Xenopus tropicalis: one gene and its partners. The protein of the gene in region 1 binds, or shares a complex with, the protein of each later gene. Links are inferred from orthologs where the notes say so. Each region holds a gene or a part of one and is shown in the gene's direction. Other genes may lie near its edges. The genes, in order: trrap, meaf6, mbtd1, vps72, tada3, morf4l1 and ruvbl2.

Region 1 (3,500 bases):
GTGCCTAACATTTTGCACCCTGAATTAAAATTGATTTTACATGTCCTTTAAAGAACCCTTGTTACATGGGGCAAATACTTAAATACTCCATTCAATAGAGATCCTCCCTGTTTGTCCGTACACTGCAAATACAAAATATTCTAGCATCATAAGACCTCTGACTTTAAAAGTTCCCTGTTCCATTGGGCCAGCCAGCTAATAGCTTGGGTTTCCCAGTGATAATAGTCTCCTTTTTCCCTTTGCAGTTTCACAGAGAAGTCAATCCCAAGTGTCATTATTTCACATCGATACAAAGCTCAGGATACCCCAGCTCGGAAAACTTTTGAGCAAGCGTTAACTGGAGCCTTCATGTCTGCTGTGATCAAGGACCTGCGCCCAAGTGCTCTCCCTTTTGTTGCCAGTTTGATTAGACATTACACCATGGTAGCTGTTGCGCAGCAGTGCGGTGAGCTTGTGTTCCTGGCTTTGGCTAACCATAAATTTCTTTTTAGATATTTGGCCCATAAGGCATTGCTAGGTTTTGCTACCCTTATAAATCTTATTTTTCTGTTTACTGCATTTTTTTGTGATTCATTTGTGTGATTATAATGTTTATACTATGATATAACCTTTTTGGCAGACTTATAAAATACATTATATTTATATTACCCTTTTACATTCAGGTAATAGTGTAGCACCCTCTATCATCTCCTCTCAGCAATGACTAATCTATATTATAAAAAGATTCACTATGGTTTACAACTTTCTTGGCTATTTCATGGGCATTTTCATGACTTTCAGTTCGATTTGCAGTGTTTTTGTGTACACGTGGGCTTGGGCCAATGATGATGGCTATAGCACCCAACATCCAATGTCACATGACACTTCAAAAGTTTATAGCTCTAAAATTTGTTTGTAAAACTGCTGAGAGGAACACTTTAGATATCTGAGTAATGAAAACATACAGAAATACAAGAAAACTAATTTTAATTAATGTATAGGTTTTCAGAAATTGAGTACAACAGTTAGACTAAAATCAGATTTTTTTTCCTCTTTTTGCCCCCAGGCCCTTTCCTTCTGCAGTGCTACCAGGTCGGAAACCAGCCAAGTACAGCCATGTTTCATAGTGAAGAAAATGGCTCCAAGGGAATGGACCCGCTGGTGCTCATTGACGCCATAGCAATATGCATGGCTTATGAGGAGAAGGAACTGTGCAAGATAGGAGAAGTGGCTTTGGCCGTGATATTTGATGTCGCCAGTATCATTCTAGGATCAAAGGAAAGGGTAATCCACCATTTGCATAAGATCAGTCAAAGGAACATGCCTTTAGAATTAATATCTATAGTACTTATCATTAAATGAGCCTCTTTGACAGCTAGCGTTATTATTTGGAGATCTAACCCATTAGCCATTAATGCCTGAATCAAAATGTACCATAAACTGTCTTTAATTTTATTTTTTAGGCCTGCCAGCTACCTCTGTTCTCCTACATTGTGGAACGACTTTGTGCATGCTGCTACGAGCAGGCTTGGTATGCAAAGCTAGGTGGCGTGGTTTCTATTAAGTTCCTAATGGAACGCCTTCCCCTCATTTGGGTTCTTCAGAATCAGCAAACTTTTCTCAAGGCCTTGCTTTTCGTCATGATGGACTTGACTGGTGAGGTAGGTAGTGGGCATCACATAGTGTCATTCCTGCTCAGTGAGAGCCTAGTGATCTCTGTTTATGGGTACAGCATGTCTTAAACAGCATGTTGTGATATATTACTGAATCTAACTATATTATTATAGGTTTCTAATGGAGCAGTGGCAATGGCCAAGACGACCCTGGAGCAACTTTTGATCCGCTGTGCAACCCCACTTAAGGATGAGGAGAAAACTGAGGAGATAGAGAATGCCCACAAGAAATCCTTCCACCTCGTAACGCATGATTTGGTTCGGGAAGTGACTTCTCCAAACCCCACTGTGAGAAAGCAAGCTATGCACTCACTGCAAGTCCTGGCACAGGTGACTGGAAAAGGTGTCACCATGATCATGGAGCCTCATAAAGAGGTAAGATGGTGTGTGGTTGGACTTTTGTGCCCATGTGGTTTGTTTGTTCATTGAATGAGCCTACATTCATTTCAATGACTTCTGTATCCAGGTCTTGCAGGACATGGTTCCGCCAAAGAAGCATTTGCTCCGTCATCAGCCAGCAAATGCCCAGATTGGTCTCATGGAAGGTAACACCTTCTGCACAACGCTTCAGCCCAGACTGTTCACGATGGACCTCAATGTTGTTGAACACAAAGTCTTCTATTCAGAGGTATTTCTGCCCATTTCTTATGTATGTATGTATGTAAAGCAGTTATCTCTGGGCTTGTGACCTTATGCAGCCTCAGCCTCAGTATTTCTACAACAGCAGCAGTGAGGATTACAGTGACTGAATAGATTAGAATTTGTAAGAACCAACATTTTTTTCAACAACTGTAACTTTTGTTTTGATTTATATATAACTCTGTACAGTTTTTATTTTTTGTTACCACCATTTGGGAAAAATCTGTTTTTATAATGTTTGCTCCAGCACACTTCTTGGCAGAAGTAGCTAACAGTTACTGTGGCTTGTTAAAAATACAAAATATTAATAAGCATTGGAACAGTTGTTTCCTCACCTTCCTGGGCAACGCAGAAGTCTCCCACTTCGGGGCAGAAGAGTTTAAGAAAATAGGCTCTCTATGGAGTCGAATCCCTTTGCATTTCATCCTATCTACCTATAGATACAGGAGATACTTATAGTACTTGAGAGGAAAACCAAGCAGTGACATGTCTAAACAATGCATTCATTTCATGAATCCAAGAGAGTGTTCTTCAATATTAAGTGATTTATTAGCCGTTGGAAAGACTGTTTAATTAGCCTGTCTCCATTACTATTGTAAAGCTTCCATGGCTCAAAGTAGAAATGCAACAGTAGAGAAGAATGTGCCGGAACCTTCCTCTAAAGGTGGCCTTACACCATAAGGAGTTGCCAGTAACACTGTGTGGATTGACACAACCCGCAGGTTTTCCATTAGGCAGGTTAGGGTTGAAATTTGTCTGTCTTGGAACCCATTGTGCATGCAGAAGTAGCTTATAGAGCAGAAAGACTTGGGTGTGGGTCCTAAAGTGGCAACATTTTGCCAGTTATGGTTGGGTTGTGCAGGTTGAGTTTTACCCAACTCCCACATCACTAGTTGCTGACCAGACAAACTTACTGATAAAGGTACTGGCAGGACAGAGGGCACCACTCAACCAGGTGGACTTTAAAGGAAATGTAAACTTTAAAATTATGATTTGTCCATAAATGAAAATAACCATTTGAAGCAATATCGTCTAGTTAAAGCTAGGGAAACTTCCTGCAAACCTGCCTGATTGATTTTCTGACTGATGTCGGATGAAAAATGGCTAGATGTATGATAATTTGGTGCCCACTAACCTTACGATAATTCAAACTGGGCCCCACTTACTCTAGCAGGCTGTCAAAAATTACATGATAGACAGGGAAACAAA
Region 2 (3,500 bases), on another chromosome or scaffold:
GGAGTACTTTTCAAACTATGTTGTTGGAAAGCAAGAATGTCAAACAAATTTCTAACCAATTAATTATGTACTTGGCTAAGCAAACTTTTTGATTTAAGGATCCGTAAAAGTGTTACCCCATCAATGGACAGCAGTCATATGTCCCAACAGCTATCCTGGATGGGTCTTAATGCAGTGTTTTATCTTGGTGACTTCACAACTTGCTTTTAACTGAATGTTTCCCCATCATATAAAAAAAAACTGTGATTATTCACATAATTACGAATACAACACTGTTTTTCATGCAATATTGTTTCCATGTGCCATGATCCAAATATAGTAACTTTCAGTAGCGTAACTACAGAGAAAGCAGACCCTGTTTTTCTCTATAGCCACTCTTGTCCCAGGAAAGTTTGTGTGCACACTGCTGATAGTTTGCAGTGGGTGCGCAAATGTTCCTGGGACAAGAGCACGCACTTGAGAGCAACTTTTGACAACAGCAATTGAAAACACTGCTTTTTACTTTGTTGGGGTGAGCTGAATTTGAAAAGCACCATTATCCATTTTGTTGGCAGCATGTTCTATGTGGAAATTACCAAGGTTTTAATGCAGTGGTAAAGGTGGCATTTGGATCCCTGCCCCATATGCCACAAGTCAACTGACTCTGCTTCTAAGTCTCACAAATGCATCAGCATGTAATTGTATACTATATGGTACCAATATTTACGAATCATATGTTAAAATCAACACACCACCCATGTAAAACTGTTATGTGCTACGCTTCTGTTCAGTAAATTAGAACTGTATGGATCCTTATTACCCAATTACTGAGTGGGTGGGCATTTTATGCTGATACATGTGGTTGCCATTGAAACTACTTGAGTATCTGAGGTGATACATTAGAAGCAATTACAGTGTAATATCGGTCCCTTTAGCCTACTTGAGAAAGTCTAACCCCGTATGCAATAAAAGATGTAGCAGTTACCCATAGCAACCAATAAGATTAGAAGTGTGCTTTTAAACAGGTGACCAGTAAATTCTACCTGCTAATTGGTTGCTATGGTTTACTTCTCTTGGGCAAACTTAGTGCACTTTATTACATAACCCCCTAAATCTTTGACTTCTGTCACAATATGAATCATGTAACAGACCTGCAAATGTTTTTTAATCTGTGTATATACCAACTGTCCTAATATTGTGTCCATAAATATTTAGCATTTTTAAAAAGTTGTGATTTGTCTCTCTCCATAGGAGACACTTGCAAATTTAGAACGGCAGATCTATGCTTTTGAAGGGAGTTACTTGGAAGACACACAGATGTATGGTAACATTATCAGAGGTTGGGACCGTTACCTAACAAATCAAAAGTAAGTTTGGATTAGTAAGCTTCTGTTTTTGTTTAACCCTATATGCCCTTTGCTTTAGAAATTTGATGAAAAGATTAATACAACTTAATCTGATTCACTTACTGTTTAACAGACTACAGTAGTCCCCCAACCACAACTACATTTACTGCTATAACTCACTTTATTAAAGATCTGGGATTTATGGTCAATGCTTTAATATGCTTTTTTTTCCAGTTAATGTGCATTACAATTTATGCTGCAATATGAAGCAAAATATGAACTCCTGACAGTATTTAGAAAAAGAATGCATTGAAGTGCACTGTAGTTTAGAATGTTATTTGTTCCTTCTGAAACTGGCAATACATGTAATTTCATAAAATTTTGTCTATGAATATGAACAGTATGGTTGCCAATAATCATACACTATGGATACCTATGAGAAAGGGCTTGCTGGAGAATAGTGCCAAATATATTTTTATATGTGAATCTAGTAAACAAAATTTTCTATTGCAGGAATTCAAACAGTAAGAATGATAGGAGGAACAGAAAGTTCAAAGAAGCAGAACGACTTTTTAGCAAATCTTCCGTAACATCAGCTGCTGTAAGTACAATTTAAGAAAGCTTTCATGGTTAGTAATGAATGAACATTAAAGAATAAGTAAACCTTTTATTTTATAATCCCTAAAATGACTAGCTAGCTCCGCTGTGGTATTCTGCATCTGTAGGTCAGCTTTACAGAGACACTTTTCATTGAAATAGACTCAAAGGGGAGGGAGCAAGGATGGGGCTCATTGGAAGGCAGTGGATGGGGGGCTTTTGTCTAGGGGAGGTTTAGTTCTTCTTTAATGAAAAGCACAGTTTTCATACCACAGTCTTACTGCCACCACTGCATGGGTTTACAATTTGGCGCATTTCATTAATTACTAACAGGCAGATGGACAATGGTATTTTGTTTACTGTTGTTTTCTTCTGGATGGCATCACTAGACTAAACACTCCGTGTGCCATAGCCCTTAGAATGGCCAACTTATAAGGCCTGATTATGACCATCTTTTCATTTGCATGGTAATCTTGTTTTGGTAATTACAGTTTCAGTCTATGTACAGATTTTTTTAGGGCATAGCCACATCGAAAAACATTTTGGATCTCTGGGTTCTTGTACAGGTCATTTATGTAGAACTGTGCTGTCCAACTTATAATAAAAAGTGGACCAATTAGGTGGTAACCAGTAAGTTTGTGGACCAGATTATAATTCAATTATGACATAAAAAATCTGTGGGGTGCATATGTACGCCAGTGCCTTAAATTAATTTGGAATGCCACATTCAGGTGTTGAATCTCCAGTTAGACGAGTCCTTCTGTTCAACTTGCTCATATTATATTCTAAGCTGCTATAGAAAGTGCCTTATTGCTCTATAACAAATATTTGTGTTTACACTTTAGGCTGTCAGTGCATTGGCAGGTGTTCAAGACCAGCTGATTGAGAAACGTGAGTGTAATGTTTATATGTTTTTTTGCTTTGTATTTGTCTTCAAGTGAGATGAGAGCATAATTTAATGTGTCATGCATCTTTTATTGCTGATTTACTTTCAGATACTGTCTTGCGCAGGATCTCCACTATTCTTTCTTTTTGCCAAAACCTTCCTTATACTTACATCATACTCCAACATGCTCTGAAATGTTAAAGTAATCTTTGAGCTGTTATTTATCAGTATCATAAGACTTTAAAAAGGGTTTGTATATCATTACATTTTATGTTGGCAATGGTAGGTAGCCCATCTGTACCATGTATGCATTAGCTGCAGTTATAGAATTGTGTGTTTTCATTTTCGTGGATTTTTTTGACTGCATCTTATGCGGTCTTGCTCTGTTTTTTTTTTTAGGGGAGCCAGGCAGCGGAACAGAGAGCGACAACTCTCCAGATTTTCAGAACCAAGAAAATGAGCCTAGCCAAGATGATACAGAGGATTTAGATGGTTCCCTGTCTGGTGTTAAACCTCAAAAAGCAGCTTCTTCAGCCAATTCTGGTGGCCATCACAGCAGTCACAAGAAACGCAAGAATAAAAATAGGCACAGGTTGGCTGAAAAATTGCTTAGAACTGTAATTTGCTAAAACTGTATTTAAGGACACTATTTTTATTTTTTAATAAAAATGATTTAGAAGTTTTACTGTTTC
Region 3 (3,500 bases), on another chromosome or scaffold:
GACAACTATTAGTCATGCACTGCACAAAGTTGGCCTTTATGGAAGAGCGGCAAGAAGAAAGCCATTGTTAACAGAAACCCATAAGAAGTCCCGTTTGCAACAAGCCATGTGGGGGACACAGCAAACATGTGGAAGAAGGTGCTCTGGTCAGATGAGACCAAAATGGAACTTTTTGGCCAAAATGCAAAACGCTATGTGTGGCGGAAAACTAACACCGCACATCACTCTGAACACACCATCCCCACTGTCCAATATGGTGGAGGCAGCATCATGCTCTGGGGGTGCTTCTCTTCAGCAGGGACAGGGAAGCTGGTCAGAGTTGATGGGAAGATGGATGGAGCCAAATACAGGGCAATCTTGGAAGAAAACCTCTTGGAGTCTGCAAAAGACTTGAGACTGGGGCAGAGGTTCACCTTCCAGCAGGACAATGACCTTAAACATAAAGCCAGGGCAACAATGGAATGGTTTAAAACAAAACATATCCATGTGTTAGAATGGCCCAGTCAAAGTCCAGATCTAAATCCAATCGAGAATCTGTGGCAAGATCTGAAAACTGCTGTTCACAAACGCTGTCCATCTAATCTGACTGAGCTGGAGCTGTTTTGCAAAGAAGAATGGGCAAGGATTTCAGTCTCTAGATGTGCAAAGCTGGTAGAGACATACCCTAAAAGACTGGCAGCTGTAATTGCAGCAAAAGGTGGTTCTACAAAGTATTGACTCAGGGGGCTGAATAATTACGCACACCCCACTTTGCAGTTATTTATTTGTAAAAAATGTTTGGAATCATGTATGATTTTCGTTCCACTTCTCACGTGTACACCACTTTGTATTGGTCTTTCACGTGGAATTCCAATAAAATTGATTCATGTTTGTGGCTGTAATGTGACAAAATGTGGAAAAGTTCAAGGGGGCCGAATATTTTTGCAAGCCACTGTATATAGCACGGCACCTCCTCTACTCAACTGCAAAGAAAAATTATAATTAAACACACAAAAATATATTAAGTTGTGGAAGTTTTTTATATGGTCTGGTACTGTATTCCAAGCTTCTTTCCAGAAAAGGTGCATATACTTTATTTTTTTTATAATTTAGTCTATCATATAATTGTCATCCAACTAAAGAATATTTCCATTTTAATTTTTCTTTCCTAGGGTTTAATGCATTACTAAGGTATGAAGGCTTTGAGAACGATTCCAGTCTTGACTTTTGGTGTAACATTTGTGGACCTGACGTTCATCCAGTTGGCTGGTGCGCAACTAGTGGAAAACCATTGGTCCCACCACAAAGTAATGTCAATCTTGTTAACATGCTTGTTTGTTTTTTTGCCATTATATATGCACAAAATAATTTGTTGTCCTATGAAATATGGCTCAGAATTAAAAAAAAAAAACCTTTATAAAAAAGCAAGTACATGATATATTTCTCCAAACCTGGGAACCCTGGGCTCCACAAGCAGTTATGTCTGTGTGTGTGTGTGTATATATATATATATATATATATATATATATATATAATATATATGATTTATATCTTCTTTTAGCATAGTCCTGACCTGACTAACATGATTAGAGGCTCAATTTCTGCACTATTACTACTATAATAGAACGATCATGGTGTTCTTTCTTACATGAAATAATCAGGGACGGTGTTTTGTTAAAGATGGTTTATAGAAATGTTTCAGTTAAGTAAGGGAAGAGTGGATTACAATAATAGATGTAAAAATACTGTTACTGTTTTACTGTTAAATTTTTTTTTTTTTTTTATTTTAAATGGACCCAGTAACGTTTTCCTTACTAATTTACTATTATATATTTTTTAATTTACATTTGAGTTTTTCTTTTAAAACAGAACAGAGTAGCAGAAATTTCAGTGCCACTTGGTAACAAATAAACAAACCATTACAGAAGGAAATGGTACACATCAGGCACTCTTTCAAAGATCAAAAAAGTTTTAATTCAATCCCATATTGTAAAGTGTTATGTGGATGTCCCAGCATTTTAAAATATATATACACACATGCTTATAATCACTAAGGGGCCCATTCATTATACCACAAATTTTGGGTGGTTACAAGCACGATTTGAAAAAATTTGGAATAACCACAATAATTTCTGATGTGCGAAAATGTCACATTCTTTTCTCGGTCTTATGAAAATATTGTGGTTGTGATCCGAAAGTCAAAAAATTTTCGGATCCCAACGATCGTCAACGGCGCAAAAACATTTGTAGCTTTGAAACTTCAATGCATGATTTTGGAAGCCTTCAATAGGACTCAATGGCACTCGACAGATCCAGCTTTGACTGATACCAAAGCTTGAATTAATTCCAAAAAGTGAAAGAAAACCACGGAAAAGACGTGGAATTTTAACGAAAATATCGTGGACATAACAAAGTTCTATAAATTAGAAAAAATACGTTTTTTTTCACAAAAAAAATTTGTGCTGTCATGAATGGGCCCCTGAATGAATGCGAGTGCATGTAGTAGAACAACCAGATCCTCACTTGCCCTGACTTGGGGGGTGTCGGATGTTCTTTCAGGACAAGCAAAAAGCAGCTGTTGAGGTAGTTCACCTTTTAAAAACCAGGATTCGTTTGAAAAACTTTTTAATGGCATGCAGTTCACTTTCAGACATTAAAATTGCTATACTTTGCAATTTTTTCCACTGTACTCATAGTTTTATTGTTACCCTGTTCAGGCAATTAAAATACTCCATGAGCGCATTATACAAATGATACAGTTTATGTACGTAGAAGTCAGTTTATACATTTACAGGACTATGGATTTTAAAATTAAACACTTTTACGTACAAAGTGTACTGCATTGGAGATTATCTTGCCTCGAGCCTGTGCTGCATTTGCTATAAATGTTCTATTGCATTATTTTATATTAATTTTTCATCAAATGTTGGAAGTTTAGGTTTTTTTGTTTTGTTTTTTTCAGCCTGTTTTCTAGTATATTCACTTATTCTCAGTTTTACAATGTGTCTTTTACAGCCATTCAACACAAATACACAAATTGGAAAGCTTTTTTAGTGAAACGATTGACTGGTGCAAAGACTCTCCCACCAGACTTCTCTCAAAAGGTAACTAATCATAGCAAAATTATAGATTACCTTTATCTGGTGGAACAGCATATAACTGTAACTGAGAAATTACTTTTGCTAATTGTGTGCTTGAAATATTCTATTGCTGATGGCCTACTATACCTGGTAAATTAATTTATTCTTTATTTACGCTCTGATGTGTCCTTCATCTGATTCTGCAGGTATCTGAAAGTATGCAGTATCCTTTCAAGCCTTCCATGAGGGTAGAAGTAGTTGATAAAACACATCTTTGTCGAACACGGGTTGCAGTAGTAGATAGTGTAATTGGAGGTCGATTAAGATTGGTATATGAAGAAAGTGAAGACAAAACTGATGACTTCTGGTGCCACATGTACAGTCCCCTCATTCATCCCATTGGCTGGTCAAGAAGCATAGGGCACCGATTCAAAAGAACTG
Region 4 (2,680 bases), on another chromosome or scaffold:
GAGAGCCATGCAGCCTTTCTTTTATATCTGTGTGTGTCTTGTACTTACTGAGAGCCATGCAGCCTTTCTTTTATATCTGTGTGTGTCTTGTACTTACTGAGAGCCATGCAGCCTTTCTTTTATATCTGTGTGTGTCTTGTACTTACTGAGAGCCATGCAGCCTTTCTTTTATAGCCGTGTGTGTCTTGTACTTACTGAGAGCCATGCAGCCTTTCTTTTATATCTGTGTGTCTTGTACTTACTGAGAGCCATGCAGCCTTTCTTTTATAGCCAGGCTATGCTACTTTTTTAATATTTCCTTGTATTCCCCAAACAGGAGCCAATTCAACTCCTTAAACCAAAGCCCAAGAAAGCAGATGCCCCTCCCAGCAGTGCAGCAAAAAGCCGCCCAGAAAAGCCTCACCCTCAGGAGACACCAGAGGACGCAGTAGACAGTGAGTATGCCGCGGGCAGTGAGCTAGGGGGTTTCCTATGCTCAGAATCCGATTGGCTCTCCTAACTAGTCTTCCCCTTTAAACTCTCAGGCCGCAAACAAATGCGCCAATCGACGACGGAGCACACGCGGCAGACTTTCCTGCGAGTAAAAGAGCGGCAGATCCAGTCCAAGAAAAAGAAGGGGCCCCACCAGGACCGACCGCTGACCCAGGTGGAGCTGCTGGAAGAAGCCAAGATCACCGAGGAGATCAACATCCGCTCCCTAGGTGCGTGAGTACCGCCACTCCCCGTCCCGCTCCGGTGCCCTCCCCCCCCCCCCCCCCGTGCTCCAATGGTTTCTCCCTTTCTCCCACAGAGAATTACGAGCGCCTGGAAGCCGACAGGAAGAAGCAGGTCCACAAGAAGCGACGGTGCGTCGGCCCCACCATCCGCCACCACTCGCTGGTCATGCCCCTCATCACCGAGCTCAACGTGAAGGAGGAGAATGTGGATGTGGAAGGGTAGGTGCAACATGGCAGCTCCTACTTTGTACAATTCCCTCTTCCCATTTGTTATGTGTAACAAGGGGCATCCTCAGTGGGCAAACCCATCAGTCATGTGATGCTGCCCTGTGTACATTACATTTCCATCCTTGATATTGAAGCAAACGCCTGGTTGTTAGGGTCAGTGACCCTAGCAACCAGATACTCACTTTCTTAACCATTACAACGTTTTCTCTTGTTGCTTTTCTTTTATGTGTTGGGGGCCACAGGCTGGATCAGGAGCAGACAGGGGACGGCGCCCAAGTTTCGTCCGCGGGCAAATGCTCCCGCACTTTCATAACATTCAGCGACGACGAATCCTTCGAGCGATTCTTCCCCAGGACCAAGCAGGGCAAGTTCTCAGTCCGGGACATCTGCCCCGTTACCCATAAGCCGGCCCAGTACCGAGACCCCATCACAGACATCCCCTACTATAACGCCAAAGCCTTCAAAATCATCCGGGACGCTTACAAAAAATACATCACCACGCACGGCCTGCCTAACGCCGCCATGGCGGCCGCTATGGGCCCCGCCCCCAGTTCTGCTGACGCCGCCCAACGCAACACGAGGCAGAAAATCATTATCAAGCAGAGCGTGCCAAGCGCCTGATACAGCGCCCTCTAGCGTCTGCCGGCCATTACAGCACTCTGAGAGAGTTATGTACAAAGGATTATTCCCATTGGGAAGCTGTAGAACATCTACAGGGGCCACATTGCTCCTCTGATTCCTGGAGTAGAAGAAATGGGAGGGGCCAGGGGGTTGAATTTCTTAATGAGCCCCCTCACATTTGGGGGGGGGGGGGCTGCTCCCCTTAGCAGTAATGTAATTGGCCGCCATTCAGTTCAAATTACCAAATGGTAAACCCCGCCCACCCCAAACACACACAGGGGACTGGGACACCTGCTTCCAATAGCAGCTAAACAAACAGTATGGGGGGTGGGGCAAAGGCACAGATGCAGTTACCAGGGTGGCTTTAACCTGACTGACGTACTGTATGTTATATAGGGCTGAGCTCTCTCTATAGGCTACTATCTGGTTGCTAGGGCTTGATTACCCTAGCAACCACACACCAGGTCCGATAACACACTATAAAAATTGAAGTCAGTTTGCATTTTGGTTTCCAGAGATGTTTTGTTGGTTAAATGCTCCTAGAGCACTGGGGGGGGGGGGGGGGGACTGTCTGTTATGTACATTATAATAAATTTGATTAGTAATTTCTGTGAATTGTAGTTAGTTGTGAGTTTTATTATGGCTTTTCATGCTGAGTAAAAGTACAGGGCGCCAGTGGCAGCATAGGGATTCCCCTGTACTAAGCACAATTCAGCAGGAACAGCCCCCTAAGTTTGCCCATAGCCTGTACAGAGAGATACCATAAAACTATGGCACATAGGGATTCCCCTGTACTAAGCACAATTCAGCAGGAACAGCCCCCTAAGTTTGCTCTTAGCCTGTACAGAGAGATACCATAAAACTATGGCACATAGGGATTCCCCTGTACTAAGCACAATTCAGCAGGAACAGCCCCCTAAGTTTGCCCATAGCCTGTACAGAGATATACCATTAAACTATGGCACATAGGGATTCCCCTGTACTAAGCACAATTCAGCAGGAACAGCCCCCTAAGTTTGCCCATAGCCTGTACAGAGAGATACCATAAAACTATGGCACATAGGGATTCCCCTGTACTAAGTACAATTCAGCAGGAACAGCCCCCTAAGTTTGCC
Region 5 (3,972 bases), on another chromosome or scaffold:
AGTAGAAACTCACAACCTGCCCAAAGGACAGTTCTTGCTCCAGTAAAGACACCCACATATTTTAAAGGGGAAGTAATCCCAGAATTGAAATGTTGCCTAGCCAACTGTCTATTAGCAGTCATTGCAATTAAAAAGCAATCAAGGTTATTCTCACTCTTACAACAATGTAGCAGAAGCCAAGCTCTCCTGCTGCGTGTATGGGCAATGCCTCAGCTGGCTTCAGATACAAAGTGTCAATAGTGAGAGCCGGCAGTGCAGGAATCAGAGAGAATGGAGCAAACCCCGCTCTCACTAGCACATACATTGCCTTAAAGCTGAATAAAATGAAAGTCCCGCCGGTGGCAGTGCCAACAGGCAGTTACAGGTTGGGCGAGTGTTGCGGAACTGCAGCTCTCACTATACAGATGTCAGGCAGGCAATGCCTATGGAGGGATTCGCTTAATCCCCTATGGGAAGGACGTTTAGTTGTAGTTCCGCACAGTCTTCCTTAGTATTACAGAGGGATCACTGTATGAATGTAAGGAATACACCGCGTCTTATGAACATTCCTACGCCGGGCCCCCGCCCAAGACCGGTTCCCTAAGCCGCCCCTGCACCGCTCCCTGCTCGACCCACGGGCTTAGCATGGCAAACACAGGCGGCCTATAGCCCGGTTCTCTATCCCGGACTGTTGTCGCTCTTTCGTGTCAATTTCTCCGTAAAACCCCCCGCCCCTCACACTCACCATCGCTCCGGTATCCCCCGATAGCGGAAGTGACAGACTCGCACATGCGCACTACCTCTCTTCCCCCTCACTGGCACAGCCAGCGGTCGGACTAAACCATCATAAACTGGGGTTGGGCGAACATTTATACTTAAACCATGTAGATTAATTTAGCCGCTTGGGCTGTGGATATACACATAAGCATATCTCAGTTCCGTTCTTGTTACATTATTATTCTCATATACGTATAAAAAGCAATACTATATGAATTTACCCGGTGTGCACCCTCCTCTTGAAAATGGTCCGGCTCGCCCCGCTTCACGCCATATTAGGGAATGTGGAATGCAGGCGGGTCAGACCAAAGTGGGGTTTAGGGGGTGTACAAACAGAACATGAGCGACCGGGAGAAATTTCTTACAAGGTATTCATGAGAGAGATTGTTATCACGACTGCTAGAGGCTTATGATACCAGATACCTGCGGATCTATCACAGCTGCACATCAATAGTAATACTACGGGAGCCCACAGGCTAAGCCTTCCCAATGCCGCCATTGCGCGCCAAGTACGATTCTTCTCTATGGTTGATTCCATCGGGGCACAAAATGGGTGCTTAAAAGAGATTGTGCCTTGTGGACGTGAACCCATTAGGCGCTTGTGGTAAGAACGTTCCCTAAGAACGGGTTATTGTGCTCAACGGCCTATTCCAGCCTTATTAGTTGTTCCCCATTTACTGACACCCCTATTTGTTTTTCCGCAGTGGTACGCTCCCGGGTGACTGACAGGCGGTGACAGTGGCGGCCTTGCGTGAGGAGCTTGGCTCTGCCCCCTACTGGCCGTTGGGAGACAAAGGAAACGAGCGCAGGAGCAGGATCCATTGAGGGGGCCAGGCCGGAGTGTGGGTACGGGCATATTGTGTGGTGTCGGTATATACCGTGCGTGGGGGCTCAGTGCTTGCGTTATATGCGGAGAGTACCTGTAACAATGCGTCATTTGGTAGCCATAGGCTACTAAATACGTTTACTCCCCTGCTGTAATAGAATAGGACTACAACTCCCAGCCGCCCCTTTCGCAAAGCGCCAGTTCTGCAGCAACTGGAGAGCAGTTACCTGTACATAAGGGGTTATTAGTAATAACCCCTACCCCAGGGCACAGGTGCATAGTGTTACTGCTCCTGCATAGGCATACAGTATACACCTGCCCTATAGCCTGTTGTGCATTGGGGGTATGGGTGCACTTATCAATAGTACTGGGGCATTGGGGTACAGTATGGCCGGCCATTACAGCTGGCTGTGCATTAGTGCTGCAGGGTATGGAGGCTGCAATATACACATGCAGTAGTGCTGCAGGGTATGGAGGCTAAAATATACACATGCATTAGTGCTGCAGGGTATGGAGGCTGCAATATACACATGCATTAGTGCTGCAGGGTATGGAGGCTGCACTATACACATGCATTAGTGCTGCAGGGTTTGGAGGCTGCAATATACACATGCATTAGTGCTGCAGGGTTTGGAGGATGCAATATACACATGCATTAGTGCTGCAGGGTTTGGAGGATGCAATATACACATGCATTAGTGCTGCAGGGTTTGGAGGCTGCAATATACACATGCATTAGTGCTGCAGGGTATGGAGGATGCAATATACACATGCATTAGTGCTGCAGGGTTTGGAGGATGCAATATACACATGCATTAGTGCTGCAGGGTTTGGAGGCTGCAGTATACACATGCATTAGTGCTGCAGGGTATGGAGGCTGCAGTATACACATGCATTAGTGCTGCAGGGTATGGAGGCTGCAATATACACATGCATTAGTGCTGCAGGGTATGGAGGCTGCAATATACACATGCATTAGTGCTGCAGGGTATGGAGGCTGCAATATACACATGCATTAGTGCTGCAGGGTATGGAGGCTGCAATGTAGACATGCATTAGTGCTGCATAGTGCTGCAGGGTATGGAGGCTGCAATGTACACATGCATTAGTGCTGCAGGGTATGGAGGCTGCAATATACACATGCATTAGTGCTGCAGGGTATGGAGGATGCAATATACACATGCATTAGTGCTGCAGGGTATGGAGGATGCAATATACACATGCATTAGTGCTGCAGGGTATGGAGGCTGCAATATACACATGCATTAGTGCTGCAGGGTATGGAGGCTGCAATATACACATGCATTAGTGCTGCAGGGTATGGAGGCTAAAATATACAAATGCATTTGTGCTGCAGGGTATGGGTACATGAAGGCTGTAATATACACATGTATTAGTGCTGCAGGGTATGAAGGCTGCAATATACAAATGCATTAGTGCTGCAGGCTATAGGTGCACAGACAGTCCTGGTATTTTGGGGTACAGAACAATATACACGTGCATTAGTGCTGCAGAGTATAGATGATATATTCATCTTAGTGTATTGGGGGTACCGCATTCACCTGCATTACAGCATTGGTGAACAGTATGCACATGTGGTATGGCTTGTTGCCTATTGGTGCTGCAGAGTATGGTTGCATACATTTGTGTTGGTGCAACATATGCATGTATTCTAGGTTTAAGAAGGGATTCGCTGTTTATTTCAGAGGGGGGATTTTTGAGCTCTTGCATTTTTGCTGGTGTATCATATTAGACCAGGGTCAGACTTGGCCCTCCATAGGGCCCCCTTTTAAAACAAAACAATGTTATAGGTGTTGTATATGGCTAGGTGGAAATAAGGGGCTGATGGGAGTTGGCCTAGGTCCAACAGTAGATTCTTCAGCGCACTAAATAGAGAAAAAGGGCTTGCACTCAAATAATGCAGAGGTTGTATTCTAAAAAAAAAATTATCTTAACCTTTTGTATTATTCTTTGTTGCAGGCCGCCAGCCTTGGCAGAATGAGCGAGTTAAAGGATTGCCCTCTCCAGTTCCATGACTTCAAATCTGTGGACCATGTCAAGTTGTGCCCCAGATACACCGCAGTTCTGTCCCGCTCCGAGGATGACGGAATCGGGATTGAGGAGCTGGATACCCTTCAGCTGGAGCTGGAAACCCTACTGTCCTCTGCAAGCAGGAGGCTCCGTGTTCTGGAAGCGGAGACCCAGGTAAAAATCAGGGGGTTAAATGTAGAGCACCCGTCCCTCAGCAGTGGCTGCCCAGTGTACTTGGCATGAAGGAATATGCCCTTGTGTAGGAGGGTTTCATGCCCAGTAGGAATGTCTATAGGTTTGAGTTGGTATAAATCTTCAGATGGCAAAATGCTGCATATGCTGCCCGTTATATTTATTGT
Region 6 (3,500 bases), on another chromosome or scaffold:
TTTTTGTTGTTGTAAATGTTCTATTGTAGATAGAGATTTTCACTTATCCTAATAATTTGTTTCTTATCCTCCAGCAAAACAAAGAAGAATAAACAGAAAGGTGAGTGTCTCTTTTTTTCTCCTAAAGAATATTTGAATTACTCTGTGTATGTGAATTTTTTTTGTATGTGACCTCACCACAAGTGTATTTGTATTTTTGCAGGCCCTGGAAGTGGAGAGGGCAGCAGCACAAGTGACATTCCGCAGCCACCACGGAAAAAACGGGCACGGATAGATCCCACTGTGGAAAGTGTAAGTATACATGGAGCCAACTATTAATTTAAAAGCTGTCCCCCTGACAGGATGTGCTAAAGGCAGTTAGTTGGGTCAGTGAAAGAGTGGATGTGGGTCTTTACCAGGGGTTTAGTAATGGTTCTGTGTCACTGATTTTATATTACTACTTTTCCCTGCTTTATATAACTACTTTTCCTTAGTCATGAAATGACCTATGTTAGGAACAAATTAGGTGTTCTCGGTATAGAAGTAGAAAGTGTCAACTATTCATTTCTGAGAATATGTTATACCCCCAGGAGGAGACTTTTATGAACAGAGTTGAAGTGAAGGTAAAGATTCCAGAGGAGCTAAAACCTTGGCTTGTGGATGACTGGGATTTAATCACACGACAGAAACAGGTATAAATCCTGGGATAAAATCTGTTCATTTGCTACATGTGTATGCTGCTCATGATATGCAAAGTATGATATTACTAACTAGTTGTAAAGCTTGTGTATGTGTTAGAGGGGTTTGTATGACTTTGAAAATATTGTTTTGGAAGTGTCATTTCTTTGACAGATTAAGTATACCTTTTAAAAACTTATTGTGTTCCTACTTTCTAACAGTGTTGTATGGTTAACATCACAAATATGTTTTTCTGTATTAGCTCATTACATCATCCAGTAGGTTTATAGCCAACCTATAGATGCCCCAAGAGAATAAGGGAGGGACAAGGTAATACAGAAGAGTACAGGGTTGGTAAAAGAAAAGGACAATTATGAATAACTAAAAAGCGAAAATTTTAGTCAGTAACACTTAATTTTTTAGCTATGCTTATTTCTTTTCGGGCTAGAACTAGGGTTTCTCACCAGGGAGTGAATGAACTGCATGCGGGGGCAGGATGAGTGCGGGCAAGTGAGCATCTTGTTGAGGGGTTTGTGTAAGTGGCGACCAGAGTAGATAATTGGTGGGAAGCACTGGAACAAATAGTACTGCCTTGGATACAAAATACTACTGGCCTTCCTCTGACTCCTTTCAAGTGCACAAGCAGCTTGCATCTACATAGTTGCCAAGTTCTAACAGATTAGAAGGGGGGCCAGAAGTGTTACATGATTTAGGGGTGGGTGTAGGCCATTTTAAGGAAAGATATTGAGGAATTAAATTACTTTGCTTACCACTGTTGTATGTGAATGTAAAGCTTCTTATGCTACTCCCTTTTCTCTCCACACAGCTGTTTAATCTTCCAGCAAAGAAAAATGTGGAAACTGTTTTGGAGGAGTATGCTACGTATAAAAAATCTCGGGGAAATACCGATAACAAGTAAGCCATATTTATGTAGCTTACATTCCTTGATCAGTATAGAGGAACTACCTGATTTAATATCCTGTTTCCCTCTTAGGGAATATGCTGTAAATGAAGTTGTGGCAGGGATCAAAGAATACTTTAATGTAATGCTTGGCACACAGCTGCTATACAAATTTGAACGTCCCCAGTATGCAGACATTCTGGCAGACCATCCAGATGCCCCCATGTCTCAAGTGTATGGAGCACCACACCTTCTGCGTCTATTTGGTAAGATCATTATTCTGGATCTTTGACAGTGAAACTGGTGCTTTTAACAAGCCCAGTGTATTCAGAATATTCTAAATTCCAGTACTTTGCCCTTGCCCAGTATTTGCTCTGCCGGAATAGTTGGCTGAATGGATGTCTGTGATTTTCCATGTGCTTTAACGCTTTAACTTACATTATTTGATATAGTTTGACAAGAATACATGGTGCCTTATGCATTGTGTGAAGCCCTGTGTAAAACTATCACCAAAAAAAAGTTTTGTAAAATTAAATGTTCTGATTTTGTTTCTTTAGTCCGAATTGGAGCCATGTTGTCTTATACTCCCCTCGATGAAAAGAGTCTGGCACTGCTTCTCAACTATCTACATGATTTCTTAAAGTGAGTAACCTTTTTCTGACAAGTTGCACCATGAAATCACATTATCTCAGTATTAATTTCACTTTTAGCCTTAGGAAGTTTGATTTGGCACGCCACATCTCCTGACTTCTATCAGCTTCCTGTCATGTGACATGGTAACATAATAGTTGACAAGCATCGATCCTGCCACTTGATATTCACATGGGGGTGTAGTCCCTTTTAGAGAATCGCAATGTTGGAAAAGCTACCCTTTACTAATTCTGCCTTGTACTCAGTTCTGAGAAAGTAGTGATTTCAGTCTGTTTGCAGTGCTTGTAAATGTTAACTTTGCTTTATTTATTATGGATATTTTTATTTCCTCTTAGGTATTTAGCCAAAAATTCCTCCTTGCTCTTTAGTGCCAGTGACTATGAAGTGGCGCCCCCAGAATACCACAGGAAAGCAGTATAGTTTGATTTAAGAACACCACAGACAGAACGGCTTTTGAGCATTGTTGTGACTGCTCTTATGACTTTTAAAACCCCCAAATTAAAAAAAAAAAAAAAAACTTGGGACAGGTTTCATTGTACACATTGCAGCTTTCCTCCACCATGCTGGTTATGGGGAAAAAAAGCTGAGAGAGAAGACTGTTGTGAACAAAAAGACAGACACAGCTGCCTTTGGTTACTGGATTTCAATGTCATTGGGTGGTAACTTTAGAAAGTATCGGAACTTTGGCAGCTAATATATCAACTGTTCGTGACCAAAGATGTTTCACTTAGAAGCCTCAACGTGTGGACCTCCTGAGCATCTAAAATATATTTGGTCTGTTCATCATATTTAATGGCACGAAGATACTCAAATCCAAGACCTATCTGACTTCTGTTTTTTAGTTATCACAATTTATTTAGTAAATGGAAGTTGGGGTACAACCATATCTTAGTGTAGGATCTGGATCTCTAGGAGTAACTGTCCTGCATCTTACTGGAATATGGAAGCAGCAGTACTTTCTTATGGATTCCTGAAAATAAAGTCTGATACTGTATCTCCTTTATGACTGGCATGGTGCAAAAACAACAAAGTGTCGTCCCTGAGCTCTGGCCTTTTGTTATTCTTCAGAAAGGGACCATTTTGGACATTCTGTGAAGCAACAGAGACCAGAAATGTCTGCTTCAGTTTAATCCTTGCCAAGTAGCACCTTTAAAACAAAATAATGGACAGAGTAAATTGCATGGAACTATTTGAGTTGCTGTAATGATTCCCGGGTGGAGTTTCTGTACAATGCAACCATGTCCCAGCTTGTTCTCAACGTGTATGATTATTCAATATGTGTATTGCTTGT
Region 7 (4,031 bases), on another chromosome or scaffold:
TGTATTTCATTGGTTGCCATAGGTTACTTCATCAGGACAGTTTTGCTCTATGTTAGTCAACATATAGTGCCCAGGGAGAGGCAGCAGGAACCTGACCAGGCCAAATGGGGTATAGGGGGCACTGCATATAAAAGAGTAACCCAGATCTACACACTAGCTCCAGAGAAACAGCCTATAACAGATATGAGATACTTTTCCTGTGGCTATGCATAGGTTCAGGTTTGTAGTTACATGGCGTAAGATTTCATTCCTTTATCATTATTGGAAAGTGAAAAAGAGCTCTTGTTTCTATGCAGTATATTCAGGCCTCTTAGTGCAGCCAGCCTCACCAGAACTGAAACATTTACTCCATAGCATTCTGCTCAGTTGACTGCAAAAAGCTGAACTATGGTTGCCATGGGGTTCTGCATCACCGTAGGGCATGCATCTGTTTGTAAATTCCCCCCTCTGTGAAATGTGTTGGTGTGTATGGCCACTTTTATATGGAGCAGTAGTGTTGGTTCATGGTAAGCAAATTAATTACTCTATAGTTGAATGCAATGTAGACCAAAGATGCTTTCCTCCAGCCTTTCCATCATCCTTGGATATAGCCATGCAGTAGCTAGGGGGGTTGCTTGTGGTGTAGTGGCAGAGGTATGCTGAATATTCTGGGCCTCTGGGGATGAATTATTTAACACGGTGTTAGTCTCAGTAGCTTTGTTTTGCTTGTTCCTGGATAGACAGTCTGCCAGTTTAGCCCATCTTTTTTTGTATGACCAAAAAAAAAAAAAAAACAGCTTCCTGGTTACGAATTGTCCAGAATAAGGCAGATTTTTAGTGCAAATGTTAGTAAATCCTTTCAATTAGATAAACTGCTCACCTGCTTGAGCTGTTATTTCACATCATACTCCCTGTCAGATGGCTTGTGTTGCCTGGTGTGACAGGGGTGTATGTAGTTGCTCTTGAGTACTATAAGAGTAAAATGACTCCAGTTCCATGAATTACCCGTGTGTTTTGGGTATCCTATAGCAGGACAGTTTGCCTTGGTTCTTACCATCCCGTATCCTATTGTTGGAGAATTTGCTTTGCAAACAACCTTGATTTGTTACTAGGAAACCGTTTGTTAACGGGGAAGATCCTTAGGGCAGACTGTTAGGATGGTAATGACAGGCATAGGCCGAGGCAGTTTGCAGTTGTTCTTATATAAAGGTAGGGCTAAATGGGCATGAGGTGGACAAAAAACAATGTTCAGCTCACAACATGCAGGGGTGGGGCAAATACATTTGGAATTCTCAAGAGGTAATCTCACATTCTGTAGAAAACATTGGTGAATCTTTATAAGCCAATGTCTCCTGCATTTATTTTGCTGCTGAGTTGTAATTAGTATTTCATGCATTGATGTCTAAAGGAAACCGTGATCAATATTCATGGTTATTTATGTCTCATAGACAACCAAGGTGCCAGAGGTGCGAGATGTCACCCGGATTGAGAGGATTGGTGAGTGTAAAAATACTACAAAAATAAACACAAAAATAACCTGCTAAACATGATGTGGTTCCCATGTAGCCCTCCTATTCAAATAACTGAATATTTTAGAACTCATGTATTCACCTCCATTGCATCGTGACACTTTTTGTTTCCATGGGCAGCAGTGCAGTTTAATCAACAAACAGTCTCCTTGGTGATAAATAGCTACAGAGGGTTGTAACTTTGCTGCAATCCCAGGCATTAGCATCACAAAGTTCCATCACTATTTTCATTTACTTTCAAGCCAAATGTGTTTAATTTTATTTATCTAATTGCAACAACAATTTTAAACGCGCATTATACACCCCTTTTCAAAAATTTTGAGTGCTGAGCATAATTTTTTGCCTGTTTAAAGTAAGAAATATGTTGCTAATAAGGAATGCCCACAGTGCCTTTTTTCCTACACTTTGGTCAAGCTGTTGGCTCTGTGCCAGATTATTTTGATAACATATATATATACTATATATGATAAAATAAAACATATATATTGCTTAACAAATATCCAAATAATAAAATATTTCAAGGAAACAATTTGTACATGTAATTGCAAATGAAAGCAGTGTCTGTTTATGTTTTTCTCTAACTCGCTTAAGACAATATATATTCACCTCCATATCCATTAAATCAAACAGCGGCTTCCAAGCCAAAATTAGTTAAAGAGCCCCACACAACACAGAAACCCCTAATATACCTATCCCTGTAATCTGTTCCATTAAAAAGTATGAATAAATACCATTTTATATGCTGAAATCCAGCTGTAAAACATTTATTTTTCTGCATTTGGCATCCTAGCATTAGCACGTGTAACAGTGCATATTAATTGTATGAGGTAGTCTGGGTATGTATAGATTAATACAAAAGATATCCAACACATTAAAATTAGTCTGTGTTTTGTGTTTCCTACCTATTAACTGCTTATTTTTGTGTATATAGTCTAACATTTGTCTCTCTTTGCCAGGCGCACATTCTCACATCAGAGGGCTTGGCCTTGACGATGCGTTGGAACCCCGTCAGGTACTGAAAGCGCTCTAATACTATAATATGAATGGTTATGAATTTTTGCTTATAATGACACTGGTTAGCGTTAGACAAGCAAGTGGCAGATTGGATACGTGTCGATCTGTCCTTCCTTCTAAAAGTAAATTTAACATCATATGTGCAGGGAATTGTGGGATTTGGAGTATGCTGGCTGAAGGCAGGCTTGTCAGCCAGATCAGCAGGAGAACAGGGGGCAGGGCTAAGGGAACTGTTCTAAACCATATTACATACAGTGGTGTGAAAAACTATTTGCCCCCTTCCTGATTTCTTATTCTTTTGCATGTTTGTCACGCTTAAATGTTTCTGCTCATCAAAAACCGTTAACTATTAGTCAAAGATAACACAAGTAAACACAAAATGCAGTTTTTAAATGAGGGTTTTTATTATTTAGGGAGAAAAAAAATCCAAACCTACATGGCCCTGTGTGAAAAAGTAATTGCCCCCTGAACCTAATAACTGGTTGGGCCACCCTTAGCAGCAATAACTGCAATCAAGCGTTTGCGATAACTTGCAACGAGTCTTTTACAGCGCTCTGGAGGAATTTTGGCCCACTCATCTTTGCAGAATTGTTGTAATTCAGCTTTATTTGAGGGTTTTCTAGCATGAACCGCCTTTTTAAGGTCATGCCACAACATCTCAATAGGATTCAGGTCAGGACTTTGACTAGGCCACTCCAAAGTCTTCATTTTGTTTTTCTTCAGCCATTCAGAGGTGGATTTGCTGGTGTGTTTTGGGTCATTGTCCTGCTGCAGCACCCAAGATCGCTTCAGCTTGAGTTGAAGAACAGATGGCCGGACATTCTCCTTCAGGATTTTTTGGTAGACAGTAGAATTCATGGTTCCATCTATCACAGCAAGCCTTCCAGGTCCTGAAGCAGCAAAACAACCCCAGACCATCACACTACCACCACCATATTTTACTGTTGGTATGATGTTCTTTTTCTGAAATGCTGTGTTACTTTTACGCCAGATGTAACGGGACACGCACCTTCCAAAAAGTTCAACTTTTGTCTCGTCGGTCCACAAGGTATTTTCCCAAAAGTCTTGGCAATCATTGAGATGTTTTTTAGCAAAATTGAGACGAGCCATAATGTTCTTTTTGCTTAAAAGTGGTTTGCGCCTTGGAAATCTGCCATGCAGGCCGTTTTTGCCCAGTCTCTTTCTTATGGTGGAGTCGTGAACACTGACCTTAATTGAGGCAAGTGAGGCCTGCAGTTCTTTAGATGTTGTCCTGGGGTCTTTTGTGGCCTCTCGGATGAGTTGTCTCTGCGCTCTTGGGGTAATTTTGGTCGGCCGGCCACTCCTGGGAAGGTTCACCACTGTTCCATGTTTTTGCCATTTGTGGATAATGGCTCTCACTGTGGTTCGCTGGAGTCCCAAAGCTTTAGAAATGGCTTTATAACCTTTACCAGACTGATAGATCTCAATTACTTTTGTTCTCATTTGTTCCTGAATTTCTTTGGATCTTGGCATGATGTCTAGCTTTTG

Evidence for each region.
Region 2: trrap (region 1) and meaf6 share a complex: the UniProt entries of both Homo sapiens proteins name them as parts of the nuA4 histone acetyltransferase complex. The link is inferred for Xenopus tropicalis from reciprocal best matches to the Homo sapiens genes TRRAP and MEAF6.
Region 3: trrap (region 1) and mbtd1 share a complex: the UniProt entries of both Homo sapiens proteins name them as parts of the nuA4 histone acetyltransferase complex. The link is inferred for Xenopus tropicalis from reciprocal best matches to the Homo sapiens genes TRRAP and MBTD1.
Region 4: trrap (region 1) and vps72 share a complex: the UniProt entries of both Homo sapiens proteins name them as parts of the nuA4 histone acetyltransferase complex. The link is inferred for Xenopus tropicalis from reciprocal best matches to the Homo sapiens genes TRRAP and VPS72.
Region 5: trrap (region 1) and tada3 share a complex: the UniProt entries of both Homo sapiens proteins name them as parts of the TFTC-HAT complex. The link is inferred for Xenopus tropicalis from reciprocal best matches to the Homo sapiens genes TRRAP and TADA3.
Region 6: trrap (region 1) and morf4l1 share a complex: the UniProt entries of both Homo sapiens proteins name them as parts of the nuA4 histone acetyltransferase complex. The link is inferred for Xenopus tropicalis from reciprocal best matches to the Homo sapiens genes TRRAP and MORF4L1.
Region 7: trrap (region 1) and ruvbl2 share a complex: the UniProt entries of both Homo sapiens proteins name them as parts of the SWR1-like complex. The link is inferred for Xenopus tropicalis from reciprocal best matches to the Homo sapiens genes TRRAP and RUVBL2.

Annotation. Positions count from the first base shown.
Region 1 is NC_030685.2:26,359,720-26,363,219, forward strand, and holds part of trrap (transformation/transcription domain-associated protein), read left to right. Parts: intron 1-245; coding exon 246-445; intron 446-1,045; coding exon 1,046-1,263; intron 1,264-1,442; coding exon 1,443-1,640; intron 1,641-1,766; coding exon 1,767-2,027; intron 2,028-2,118; coding exon 2,119-2,280; intron 2,281-3,500. UniProt on the Homo sapiens protein: Adapter protein, which is found in various multiprotein chromatin complexes with histone acetyltransferase activity (HAT), which gives a specific tag for epigenetic transcription activation.
Region 2 is NC_030678.2:86,132,697-86,136,196, reverse strand, and holds part of meaf6 (chromatin modification-related protein MEAF6), read left to right. Parts: intron 1-1,230; coding exon 1,231-1,346; intron 1,347-1,838; coding exon 1,839-1,926; intron 1,927-2,767; coding exon 2,768-2,813; intron 2,814-3,207; coding exon 3,208-3,400; intron 3,401-3,500.
Region 3 is NC_030686.2:23,310,543-23,314,042, reverse strand, and holds part of mbtd1 (MBT domain-containing protein 1), read left to right. Parts: intron 1-1,151; coding exon 1,152-1,286; intron 1,287-2,994; coding exon 2,995-3,083; intron 3,084-3,265; coding exon 3,266-3,500. UniProt on the Homo sapiens protein: Chromatin reader component of the NuA4 histone acetyltransferase complex, a multiprotein complex involved in transcriptional activation of select genes principally by acetylation of nucleosomal histones H4 and H2A.
Region 4 is NC_030684.2:137,929,488-137,932,167, reverse strand, and holds the end of vps72 (vacuolar protein sorting-associated protein 72 homolog), read left to right. Parts: intron 1-316; coding exon 317-434; intron 435-524; coding exon 525-701; intron 702-790; coding exon 791-935; intron 936-1,186; coding exon 1,187-1,565; 3' UTR 1,566-2,180; downstream 2,181-2,680. UniProt on the Homo sapiens protein: Deposition-and-exchange histone chaperone specific for H2AZ1, specifically chaperones H2AZ1 and deposits it into nucleosomes.
Region 5 is NC_030680.2:138,580,975-138,584,946, reverse strand, and holds the start of tada3 (transcriptional adapter 3), read left to right. Parts: upstream 1-1,172; 5' UTR 1,173-1,360; intron 1,361-1,460; 5' UTR 1,461-1,602; intron 1,603-3,562; 5' UTR 3,563-3,580; coding exon 3,581-3,787; intron 3,788-3,972. UniProt on the Homo sapiens protein: Functions as a component of the PCAF complex. The PCAF complex is capable of efficiently acetylating histones in a nucleosomal context. The PCAF complex could be considered as the human version of the yeast SAGA complex.
Region 6 is NC_030679.2:118,081,489-118,084,988, reverse strand, and holds part of morf4l1 (mortality factor 4-like protein 1), read left to right. Parts: intron 1-74; coding exon 75-100; intron 101-202; coding exon 203-291; intron 292-569; coding exon 570-671; intron 672-1,483; coding exon 1,484-1,572; intron 1,573-1,651; coding exon 1,652-1,824; intron 1,825-2,115; coding exon 2,116-2,200; intron 2,201-2,544; coding exon 2,545-2,629; 3' UTR 2,630-3,500. UniProt on the Homo sapiens protein: Component of the NuA4 histone acetyltransferase (HAT) complex which is involved in transcriptional activation of select genes principally by acetylation of nucleosomal histones H4 and H2A.
Region 7 is NC_030683.2:113,417,080-113,421,110, reverse strand, and holds the start of ruvbl2 (ruvB-like 2), read left to right. Parts: upstream 1-1,231; 5' UTR 1,232-1,427; coding exon of another isoform or gene 1,428-1,476; intron 1,477-2,464; coding exon of another isoform or gene 2,465-2,520; intron 2,521-4,031. UniProt on the Homo sapiens protein: Possesses single-stranded DNA-stimulated ATPase and ATP-dependent DNA helicase (5' to 3') activity; hexamerization is thought to be critical for ATP hydrolysis and adjacent subunits in the ring-like structure contribute to the ATPase activity.